3 linked regions of the Macaca fascicularis genome follow. The protein of the gene in region 1 purifies or fractionates together with the protein of each later gene. This does not show direct contact. Links are inferred from orthologs where the notes say so. Each region holds a gene or a part of one and is shown in the gene's direction. Other genes may lie near its edges. The genes, in order: RB1, KDM5B and E2F3.

Region 1 (3,654 bases):
AGTATTATAAACTATTAGAAAAGAAAATCTAAAGGTAGAAATTTTAAAATTCATTTAACAAGTAAATTTTACTTTTTTTTTTTTCTACTGTTCTTTCTCAGACATTCAAACGTGTTTTGATCAAAGAAGAGGAGTATGATTCTATTATAGTATTCTATAACTCGGTCTTCATGCAGAGACTGAAAACAAATATTTTGCAGTATGCTTCCACCAGGGTAGGTCGAAAGTATCCTTTGACTGGAAAAATCTAATGTAATGGGTCCACCAAAACATTAAATAAATGGTCTACTTTTCTGTTTTTGCTCTAGCCCCCTACCTTGTCACCAATACCTCACATTCCTCGAAGTCCTTACAAGTTTCCTAGTTCGCCCTTACGGATTCCTGGAGGGAACATCTATATTTCACCCCTGAAGAGTCCATATAAAATTTCAGAAGGTCTGCCAACACCCACGAAAATGACTCCAAGATCAAGGTGTGTGTTTTCTCTTTATGGAAGTAGTAAAGAATGAGAGGGCGATTATTTTGATCCAAGAATAAAAAATATAAAGCTTTCTTCATTTCAAATAAGCTAGACTCTTGAAACTCTATTTGCTTATTTAAGTAACATAATAAGAATATGGAGAGAAAGAAAATCTATTTACTTGGATGAGTTTACACATTTACTTATCAGATTTCCTGACTGTTAGGGTATCTTCTTTTGTAAACAATTTGAGAACCAGTTTGGTTATATGTTTCAAAACACTTTCATATTTTTCTAAGTAGCCAATCTGCTAAACAAAGCAGGTTACTTTAGGTTGAGTACTTTTAGTTTGTAGTTTATTGGATGTCCTGTAAATTTTGCTTCCTGTGGATTTTGTTCATTTTGCTTGTTATATTAAATGTAGATTACTGTCAATTAAGTCTTTAGAGGTCCATCCCTAATCCTGCTGGCGGCCACTTTACCACTTTACCTTGGGCAGGTCTCTATCTGTACTTCACAAGGGTGCTGTGGATCAGGGAAATGATGAGTATGAAGCTGTTTTAAATGCTCAGATGAAAGGTTGTGTGCAACTACAAATCATTATATTATCTTCCACATCCAACCACAAGTGCTCTCTGGCTTTGAAGTGCTTCAATTGACTAATTATATGTTATCACGGGCTATTTGAAACTGACTTTATTTGTGTAAAGTAGGAGGCAGATTAGCTAGTATAGTTAATGTAGTCTCATCTCAGAAATTATCAGCCCATATGGTTGTACCTAATGGGCAAGAAAAGGGGAATATGTTGGCCTTTCAGAAAACATTTGCATGGTATATTTAATTATTTAAGTAGTACGTACTCATTATAAAAATTTCAAACTCTACAGAAAAATATGAAGTGAGAAATAATTGGCAATATGATACAAATGCTCTCATGTGCCTCTGTATCATCCTTTATTTATTTGGTGTTCTTGTAGTTGGATATCTGTGTACTGATACCTACTACTTGTTCTAAGCTGCTAAGATGCCACGTCATGTCTATTTAAGAAAATTTACATTGTTCCATGCCACTATATGAAAATGTATACTTAGGTAGTTTTCTTTAATAGTGATAATTAGTCCATATTATGGTGATAATGATGGCTACTTGCTGATCCTTAGTGAAATAAATTCTGTGTTGGTATTCTTTAGCAAGAAAGTCACATTCTGAACCTCCTAACTAATAAATCATTGACCAGGCATTAGGAGAGCATCTTAACACTACCTGGTACATTTAGGTGTTCTGGTTAATCAAATATTATATGTAGAATGATGGCCACTTATCAAGGAATTAGAGGACAAAAAATTCTCTATATTCACTAGTTCCATGTTCATGTTTTCAAATCTTTGTTGAGTCATGTCAGTCTAATGATGTTCTTCAGATTTATTATCAAGAACATAAATTATATGGTTCAAATAAAGACAGACTAATAAAGATTTCTGACTCCATATATGATATATGATAGCCTTTACTATATCAGTATAGAGGCTAATTAGAAGTCTGATTATTACTTAATATTGTAAGTTTTTTCCAAATATTACTTGAATTTTAAATGAGAAAATATGAAAGAAATTTGATAACTTACCCATTGATTTACGAAGAACTCAGTAGGGGTAAACTTGAAACTTTCCTTTGCCCTCCCTAAATATGGGCAATAGCAGAATATGTTCTTGCAGACTTATAACTTTTGCTGTAAAACTAAGAGACTAGGTGAGTATATGATTAAATGGGCACTGTTACAATAATTCCCAAATGAATATAGTTTGTCAGTAGTTCTAGGGTAGAGGTAACCTTTAATTTAGTATTCCTAATAGTTCAGAATGATGTATCTATGCTCGTCTCTGCAAAATTGTATATGATTTTTTATTACTAATTGGCATTTCATCTTAACTTGACAGAATCTTAGTATCAATTGGTGAATCATTTGGGGTGAGTATTTTCTTTCTATGAAATATAATAGTATGCATTGTAAGTATAAAAGAAATTAAAGCTTTCAATAATTCGAGTTTCTAAATGTAATTATTCAAACACCTCATCCAGGCATATTGCATAGAAATTTATGATATATATATATATAAAAAAAATACTCCTAATCTCAAATCATACTCCTAATTGGTGAACTTCAAAACTTTTCTAAATATTCATTTGAGGTTATATAATACATATATACATTTGTGTATATACATACATATATACGTGAGCTGTTTTTGCTCATAACACTTCTGTCACCAAATGTGTAAGATTTTTTTCTCACACAAATCTTCAACTCTCTGGTGTTCTACAATTCAATTCGATTCTGACACTAATTACTCAGAGTCAGCATCAGACTCCACAGGTTCAAGGCTCAGTCCCACAAAACTGGTCTCACTGCAGACACCAGTCACAAGTGTCAGGTCCCCAGGCTACACCATACTTCCTTCTGACTTGGATACAAAGTTGGGGGGTTCCAGTAGTGCCTCTTCCTTACAGGTTTGATCCATTGCCAGAACTACTCACAAAACTCTGGAAAATATTTTACTTACTATTATCAGTTCATCATAAAAGATACAAATGAACAGCCAGATGAAGAAGTATTATATAGGGTGAGGTCCAGAAGAGTCCCTAGCACAGGGGCTTCTGTCCCTGGGGAGTTGGGGTGCACCACCTTCCTAGCACTTAGACATGTTTACCAACTCCAAAGGTCTCCCAACCTTATTGTTGAGGGGTTTTTATAGGGGTTTCATTATGTAGGCATAATTGGTTAACTCAATCTCCAACCCCCTCCCATCCCTGGATAGAGGGTGGGGCTGAAAGTTCCAAGCTTCTGCTCAAGACCTGGTCTTTCTGGCAACCAGCTTCATCCTAAATTAGCTAGGTATGCACTAAGTATCACCTCATTAGAACAAAAGAGGGTCCCATTACCCTTATCACTCAGGAAATTCGAAGGGTTTTAGGAGCTCTGTTCCAGGAACCGGGGACAAAGAACAAATATCTCTCTATGATACCATGTATGTATGTACATAACCTCACAGGAATTTTATAAAACAGTTTTGAAATTCACTCATTATGAGTGTGATTTGAAATGAGATACTCCAAAATGTAAACCCGATATCCAAATGTCACCAGCCTGTCCCTGCCTACTGGTCTCCTTCCATACATATGCACTTTTTGCTTG
Region 2 (3,654 bases), on another chromosome or scaffold:
GGCTTGTCCACAACTTTGAAGTTCTGACAATCAGTAATAGCAGATTCAACAAATCTAGTTATATGACTAAATGCCCAAACTAAGCCCCAAGGCCCAGAATTTTCATGAAGTAGTGACTTCAAAGTACCCTCCCAACCCTAAAAAGAAATAAAAACCTACCCAGTTCCAAAGTAATTATCCAAAGTATCCAAAGTCATTTCCACCAAGTATTTGTGGTTTTATGCTAGATGTCATACTTTTTGACCTGTATATAAGTTTAAAAAAATAATTAAGTTCACTTGTAGCATTGTTAAGGTACAAAAAGAATGCATTATTTAATATGATTTTCCCAGTTTTCAGACGACTGACTGAATGACTTAATTTGAAAAGTGTTTGATGGGGGATGTCTTCCCTTATCTCTTATCATCATAAACTAATAGGTGTTACTGACCTATTGAGAAAAAAAAGTCTCAGGTTCTGTTTTGTTGAAGTCCTCAAATTCTAGAAATAAAAATACTATCTGGCTTTCTGAATATTTGTGTAATTTTAAGTGGTGCTAATTGGCTAGTTGCTAACAAGAAGTACCAAACAGGACAATTCTAGACAAATGTTTGCATCTGGGCATCTGTTCTTGTTAATAGGGAAAAGAAGATATATTGTTTGAGGAGATTACATAATTAAGGACTGACTCCAGCAAGCCAAAACAAAAACAAAAAAAAACAAAGTATTTACTATGGATGTAAACTTCGTTAATGAGAGTTTTAGATGTAGGCACTTGTCAATGATAGTTGGTACTGTAGTAATTAGTTTTAGTCATGGTCCTCCTTTTTACTCCATGATTGCTAGCAGCCAGAAGGTGAGCTCATGGCAATAAGGAGAGGCTGGCATATAAAATCAGAAAGCAAGGGCATGCTTCTGGATGAGTTTATTTCCTTCATATTTTATATGTATATGCTACTTTTACTATGTTTGTAACAGTGCCATTAAGGGCAAAAGGCAAGTTTTGCTTCATTCCTGAAAAAGTAGCCTACCTTTTTTTTGAATCATATATTTAAGGACTAATAGACATGACTAACAACAAGGAACTATTTTCTATTTAGTGGATTATTTATTTTAAAATGTTAGGCAGTATTCTGCTTTACACATAGGAAGCACTCGGATTTCTAAATTAAATACCATAGGAATAGCATTAATTTATGAGTCACGTTCTTAAGTGTCCATCAGAACATTTATGCCCTAACAGTTTTAATCCTCTAAGAATAAATATCAAAGGCAGCAAAATAACCTACCCAGTCTTCCCTAGTTGTCCCAAAAATGTCCCTTATGGCTGTTTGTCTAACCCAGGAACACACATTGCACCTAATTGGCATCTCTTTAAGTTTCTTTTGATCTTGTAGCGTTTTCCTCCCTACCCCAGTTTTTCTCATGTCACTGACTAGACAGTTATCCTGTGGTATACTCCACCTTCTGGATTTGTTTGGTTGTTTCTTTGTGGAGTGTTCTATTCTCTGTATTTTCTATAAATTGGAAGTTAGTTTTAAAACCCTGGTGCATCCAAGTTAAACATTTTTTAATATAATGCATTAAAATGTCAGGTAATACTGTATATTCTGTATTGCATCACAACAGGAGACATATCTGGATGACCTGACATCAGTGATGCTAAGTTTTACATTGTATTAGAGCAACACCAATGCATTTCATCCTCCATAACCTAATGCTTTTACTCTCCTTCTAGTTTGGCTATCTTTTTCTAAAAATACAGTTCCCAGACCAGCAGTAGTAGCATTGGCAACAGTAGCTTCACCTGGGAACTTGTTAGAAGTGCAAATTTATGGACCTTTCTCTGACCCACTGAATTAGAATATTTGGGGATAGGACTAAGGAAACTGTTTAAACAAGCCTTCCAGATGATTCTTATGTATGCTAAAGTTTGAGAACCACTGGGCTGTCTCAACTTTTATTTTAGTTTCCTGAATAATTTATATTGAGTCGCTTTAATTAATCATTGGTGAGTGGATTGGGGTAAAATATTGTTTTGTTACTTTTTATTTGTATAATTCTGTATGAAAGTCTTGAGTTTCTACAAACCTTCATTTCTGCTGAAATTTTTTTCAAACTATCAGTAGGGATCAATGTGATGAGTGAATTTAGAAGGGTATAAATAGAACAAAGGGACCACAGTATATGCCATGTTCACATTTGTATCCTTAGAGTCTAGCATATACTAGGTTCTCTAGGCCCGGCACAGTGGCTCACTATAATCCCAGCAGTTTGGGAGGCCGAGGTGGGAGAATTGCTTGAACCCAGGAGGTAGAGGTTGCAGTGAGCTGAGATTGCACCACTGCATTCCAGCCTGGGCAAGAGTGATACTCTGTCTTAAAAAAGAAGAAAAAAGAAAAAAAAAAGAAAATAAAAAAACACCACCAACAACAAAAGACCAAACTAGGTTCTCTAAGTGTCACTTCTACCCCCAACATTATTGGTCAGCTGGCAGGTTGACATTTGTGAATTTAGCATGTTGTTTGTGAATTTAGCATGTTGAGATCTTGGAGTAATCTGAAGTACTCAGTGAACCAATCTGATTTATGCTTTTCCTGTTTTTCATAGAAGTGTTCTTTTTTCTAAACTGCTGTAATTTTCCTTGATTTATTAGGCTGGAGGACGTGTGCCAGTGTTAGACACACTCATAGAACTTGTTACACGAGGCCGATCTATCCCGGTACATCTGAATTCTTTGCCAAGACTGGAATCCCTAGTAGCTGAGGTTCAGGCTTGGAAAGAATGTGCTGTTAATACATTCTTGACTGAGAATTCTCCATATTCTCTCTTAGAGGTAAGTTTACAACCAGCTCATCTGCAAGACCTTAGATCTCCTAGTTTGGTAAAACATGCAGTTCATCACATGCAAAGATGACATCACAGATTAATCTATATTCTGTGAGTTGTTCTTCCAGAAAAGCCAGGGAGATTCTTCTAATCTTCTGGTGAAGCAACCTTTAAATGTTTTCTTGGTTCATTTAGGATAACAGTATCTTAAAGAAGAAAATTTTTTCCTACTGGGTGAAATTCCTCTGTGTTGAAATTGGACTCTTAAACTTGGCCATGTTTTACCCACCTGAATTTCGTAAGCCTGATAAATGATCTCCCCCATCTTTTAAAAGTGCTTTAACTGCACTTTTTGTATTTTCTGTAAACTGTTGCTTGTGCATCATGACTGGGATCAGTTGGTATATATCACATTTTTTACTTGTTAGTTAATTGAATCAGGAATCAGTCAATCTCATAAGAGTCTTCCTCCTCCTTTTGTAAAGGAGAGTCTGAGGGTTGCACGTTCCAAAGAAAATCTTCAATACTAAGAAATGCACATCCTTTTTACTGCTTAGGCTTTTATTTTGGGACTTCCTACTTAATGCTTTATCTGAAATTTATTTTACCGTTCCTTGTGCTTTGTCCCACATTAGGTGCTGTGTCCTCGATGTGATATTGGCCTTTTGGGATTGAAAAGGAAACAGAGAAAGTTAAAGGAGCCCTTGCCAAATGGAAAGAAAAAAAGCACCAAATTAGAGAGTCTGAGTGACCTGGAGAGAGCTTTAACTGAAAGCAAAGAGACTGCTTCAGCTGTATGTAGGGGTTTTTTTCTTCTCCTTTCTGTGTTATTGGGAAGAATAATTT
Region 3 (3,754 bases), on another chromosome or scaffold:
AATTCATTTGATTTTTCTAACTTATTTTTTGTTTCCGCCCATGTTTTCCTTTCAGACTTGGCTTCAACCAACTCAGGACATAGCGATTGCTCGATTTCTATGGGAAACCTTTCTCCTCTGGCCTCCCCAGCCAACCTCTTACAGCAGACTGAGGACCAAATTCCTTCCAACCTAGAAGGACCGTTTGTGAACTTACTGCCTCCCCTGCTGCAAGAGGACTATCTCCTGAGCCTCGGGGAGGAGGAAGGCATCAGCGATCTCTTTGATGCTTACGATTTGGAAAAGCTCCCACTGGTGGAAGACTTCATGTGTAGTTGATTATGCTTCGTGTGAACTCTCCTTAAAAACCGATATTTTTTTATCATGGAACCAGAACATCTGTCATGCACTGTTGTCCCTTCCTACCTTCTTCCTCCAAGAGAGTATCATGAAGTAAACTACAAACTTCAGAAGAAAGCTGACATTTTAATGAATTTTTTAAAAAATTAATAAACAAATTGTCTAAACGCACAGTTGCAGGCTCCCTTGGGAAAGCCCTGCTTTACTCCAGGCTCCAAGATCTCCTGGCTAAGTCAGCAAGTGAGAAAATGTGCAATCAGGTGTCTCTCACCCCGACTTTTCCTTCCTCCTTCCTCCCCGGATTGGCTTGCTGTGCCTGACGGATGGGCTGTAGAATGGGGTCTGGCCACCTGGCCCGCTGGGAAACAGCAATCTTCCTTAATAGCATTTCAAGCCGTGCCTTCTCCGCAGAATGCATGTCTTTGGGGTCTGCTAATATGGAATGGAACTGCAGCAAATGCAAACTTGAAGTCATGCAAAAGTATGAAATGGATTTCTTCAGCTCTTCTTAGGAATATTTAAATTACTGTCATAATTCAGTTTAAGCTATGAACTGTGTGTCCCAGTAGGAGGTCAAGAAAACCTCCACAGCCTTCTGGATGAAGAACCTGTTTTCAAATATACTTGTTGCAGATACAGAAGACTAGTAGAGTTCTGCCACTCTAAGCTGTTGTGGATTTTCCTGTCTCCATGAACCACTCCCATTCCCCTGTCCCCAATGTGTTTGTGAGTTTCCAGTTGATTTGTAGCAAATGCCTACTTAGTTCTTTGTGGATTGTTTTAGACTTTTTATTGTTTTAGCTGCCATTTAAGCATTCCTGTGGCACCCATCACCATTTCAATTTAATTGTTTACTTTGAAGCGGTTTTTGCAAATTCACATTACTTAAGCAGAGGGAGAGAACCTCTACTGATCGAGCATCTAAACCTGTGTGATCTAAGGTTTATCAGCCTCTGCAAGGAGCTTTGTCCCATCGTGCTTCCATTCCCAGGAGGGGGAGCTTGGAGCGAGTCAGTCCTGGGGGTTGCTGACATGGGCGGCCCGTTGGAAAGGAGAACCATGTCAGATGACGTAACAGCCCCAAGGAGCAGCAAGCATGGGTCCCTCCATCCTTGGGCTTCCCGGGCCCCTGTGACGGGGGAAAGGGCTCTCTTACACCGCACTCAGGGAGACCACTTCTCAGGATGGGGTCAGATGGAGAGACCTCTAGGGAGAAAGACATCCCCATTGTGTGAGTGGCATTTCCTTAAGCTGGCAGGAACAGGGAGCAGCCCTGTGTCGGGGGCTGGAATAGTTCTGGCCAGACCCTGTTCCCCTTCCTCTATGAAGGAATCAGTTGGACCAAGGGAAGTCGGGGACGTAGAAAATGAAGCAAAACAATGCCAGGGCGTCTCCCGCTTTACTCTTCAGGAATGGTGTCCCAAGTTGGAGGCTTTGTGTCAGCTGCAAATCCTACCAGTTGTGTCCAAGAATGGCCTTCCCTCGGGCAAGTGGCAGTGGCCATCTCCCCCTGGGAATATGGCGTAGTATCTCCGGTCCATTCCTTGGATGCTAAGGACTGCGGGAATGAGGGAGTCAGATCAAGAACAAACCTCAAAACGAACAGTTAAATTGAAATGCTATGTGCCTGACCCAATGGTAGGCACATAGTAGGCACTCAACTCATATGTTTAATTGAATTGAAAATATCCCTTAGGAAAAAATTTTAAAAACACAAACAAAAAACCACAAGAGCCCCAGCCAGTTTACTCCAGGTAGATTTCCACAATATGCAAAGTGGTGGTGGGGTCAAGACAGATGACACCAGCACTTTAAACTCTTTGTGTGGGTATGCGTGGGTGTATGTTTGGGAAGAAAAACAAAGGTGCAGACTATCTTCCTTTTTTCTTCTTCAGCCTCCATCCCTGGCCTCCTCCCCTCACACACACTGGACTTGGTACAAAATGTCGGTGTGGTCCTAGATGAAGCATTGGGGTGGGGGAGGGAGAGGGAGCTTTGTGTCAAGTGCCTACTGGAAATGCACTGTGGGGTTTTTTCCTGTATGGGAAACCATTTATGCCAAGCTTTTCCCCATTTCCCATATTTATCTCATCTGGTTAGCTGCCTCTGCTTCCAGCTTTGTGTAATTCTCTTTGCCAGCTGCACAAAGCTGATTTTTTCCAAAGTCTAAAGACTGAGCTCACCTGGCTAGATTGTTGTGTGTTTTGTTGAAATTTTTCATAATGTAATGCCGTATTTATTGTTTTAAAAATGAAAGGAATACTAATAAGTCTTAAAAGTTCCTTCATGCATAAGATTTTTTTTCCAGTTACTGGGCTTAACTGGTGTACATTAATTAGATGTCCATACTGTATTTTGTTTGCATTAAGTACTTTTCTTTTTGACTTAGTATCCGGCACACAAAGTGGGTTAGTACTACAGTATTTGCGTTACTTTAAGTACTAAGTATGCAGGTTTCCTGGTACCATTGAGTTGCTGCTATTAAAGCTCACACACGAAATGGCTAAAAGTTACAAGTGTGCGAATTATGACTGCGTGAGCCTTAGAAAATAAAATGTATAAAGGGCAACACATGAGCTGTCAAACAGTGTTAGGTATGTGTTTATATGTACAGAGTTGTGCATAGCAATCGTTTTATTTAAGTGGATATGTAGTCTACTCACATTTTCATTATTTAGCAATTTTGTACAAAAATAGCAATTAATTTGTAAACACTGCCAGAATACTTTCTAGCTGGTTTGTAATTTTTTAAGAGTGTTATTTCGTTTTGTTGTTTTTTCTGTTCTTTGTTGTGGTTCTTGTTTTCTTTTTTGTTGTACGTGTAGATCTGTAAATAAAATTGCAGTATTTAAAGCTTAAGCTTTCAGGAAAAAGAAAATAAGAATTCAGTGTGTGCATGACAACTCGTGTGTATGAGAAGGAGGGATTTGAAGGAAGATGGCTTGCAGAGTAAGTCGGGTGGCAATTGTCAGGGTGTGGGAATTTCTCTTCCTACGGGGTACGTGATTTTGTAAAAAGGAAGTATTTCTCCCAAAATTGGGAGTAGGCAAACTACGAATCAGTTTAGCTTTGTGTTGTATGCTAGTTTAAAAAAGAAAATATGTAATATAATGTAAAAAACAACCACAAAAAAAAGCTTTTATGATGGATTTTGTAAATAGATTTGTTACAGGGTGACCTGTTCTCTAGCTGTGATCTTACCACTTCAAATGGGTGTAATTTGAATAAATTTTGTATGGTAAAGGATCAATAAAATGATTTTTTTTTAAGAGTTCAGGCTTGTGGATGGGTTTTCTTTAATATTATATTATGCTCCTCTATTAATTTAATTTTTTTTCCTTTTTCTTTCTTTTTCTCGTTTTTTTTTTTTTTTTTTTTTTTTTTTTTGAGGCAGAGTTGATCACTCATGCAGGCT

The links.
Region 2: the proteins of RB1 (region 1) and KDM5B purify together in Homo sapiens (affinity purification with western blotting; 3 studies listed by BioGRID). This does not show direct contact. The link is inferred for Macaca fascicularis from reciprocal best matches to the Homo sapiens genes RB1 and KDM5B.
Region 3: the proteins of RB1 (region 1) and E2F3 purify together in Homo sapiens (affinity purification with western blotting; 9 studies listed by BioGRID and IntAct, with this or other methods). This does not show direct contact. The link is inferred for Macaca fascicularis from reciprocal best matches to the Homo sapiens genes RB1 and E2F3.

Annotation. Positions count from the first base shown.
Region 1 is NC_088391.1:27,597,510-27,601,163, forward strand, and holds part of RB1 (retinoblastoma-associated protein), read left to right. Parts: intron 1-101; coding exon 102-215; intron 216-308; coding exon 309-472; intron 473-2,085; exon of another isoform or gene 2,086-2,216; intron 2,217-2,398; coding exon 2,399-2,429; intron 2,430-2,939; exon of another isoform or gene 2,940-3,654. UniProt on the Homo sapiens protein: Tumor suppressor that is a key regulator of the G1/S transition of the cell cycle. The hypophosphorylated form binds transcription regulators of the E2F family, preventing transcription of E2F-responsive genes.
Region 2 is NC_088375.1:60,485,963-60,489,616, reverse strand, and holds part of KDM5B (lysine-specific demethylase 5B), read left to right. Parts: intron 1-2,635; coding exon 2,636-2,815; intron 2,816-3,443; coding exon 3,444-3,602; intron 3,603-3,654. UniProt on the Homo sapiens protein: Histone demethylase that demethylates 'Lys-4' of histone H3, thereby playing a central role in histone code. Does not demethylate histone H3 'Lys-9' or H3 'Lys-27'. Demethylates trimethylated, dimethylated and monomethylated H3 'Lys-4'.
Region 3 is NC_088378.1:152,462,954-152,466,707, reverse strand, and holds the end of E2F3 (transcription factor E2F3), read left to right. Parts: intron 1-55; coding exon 56-318; 3' UTR 319-3,613; downstream 3,614-3,754.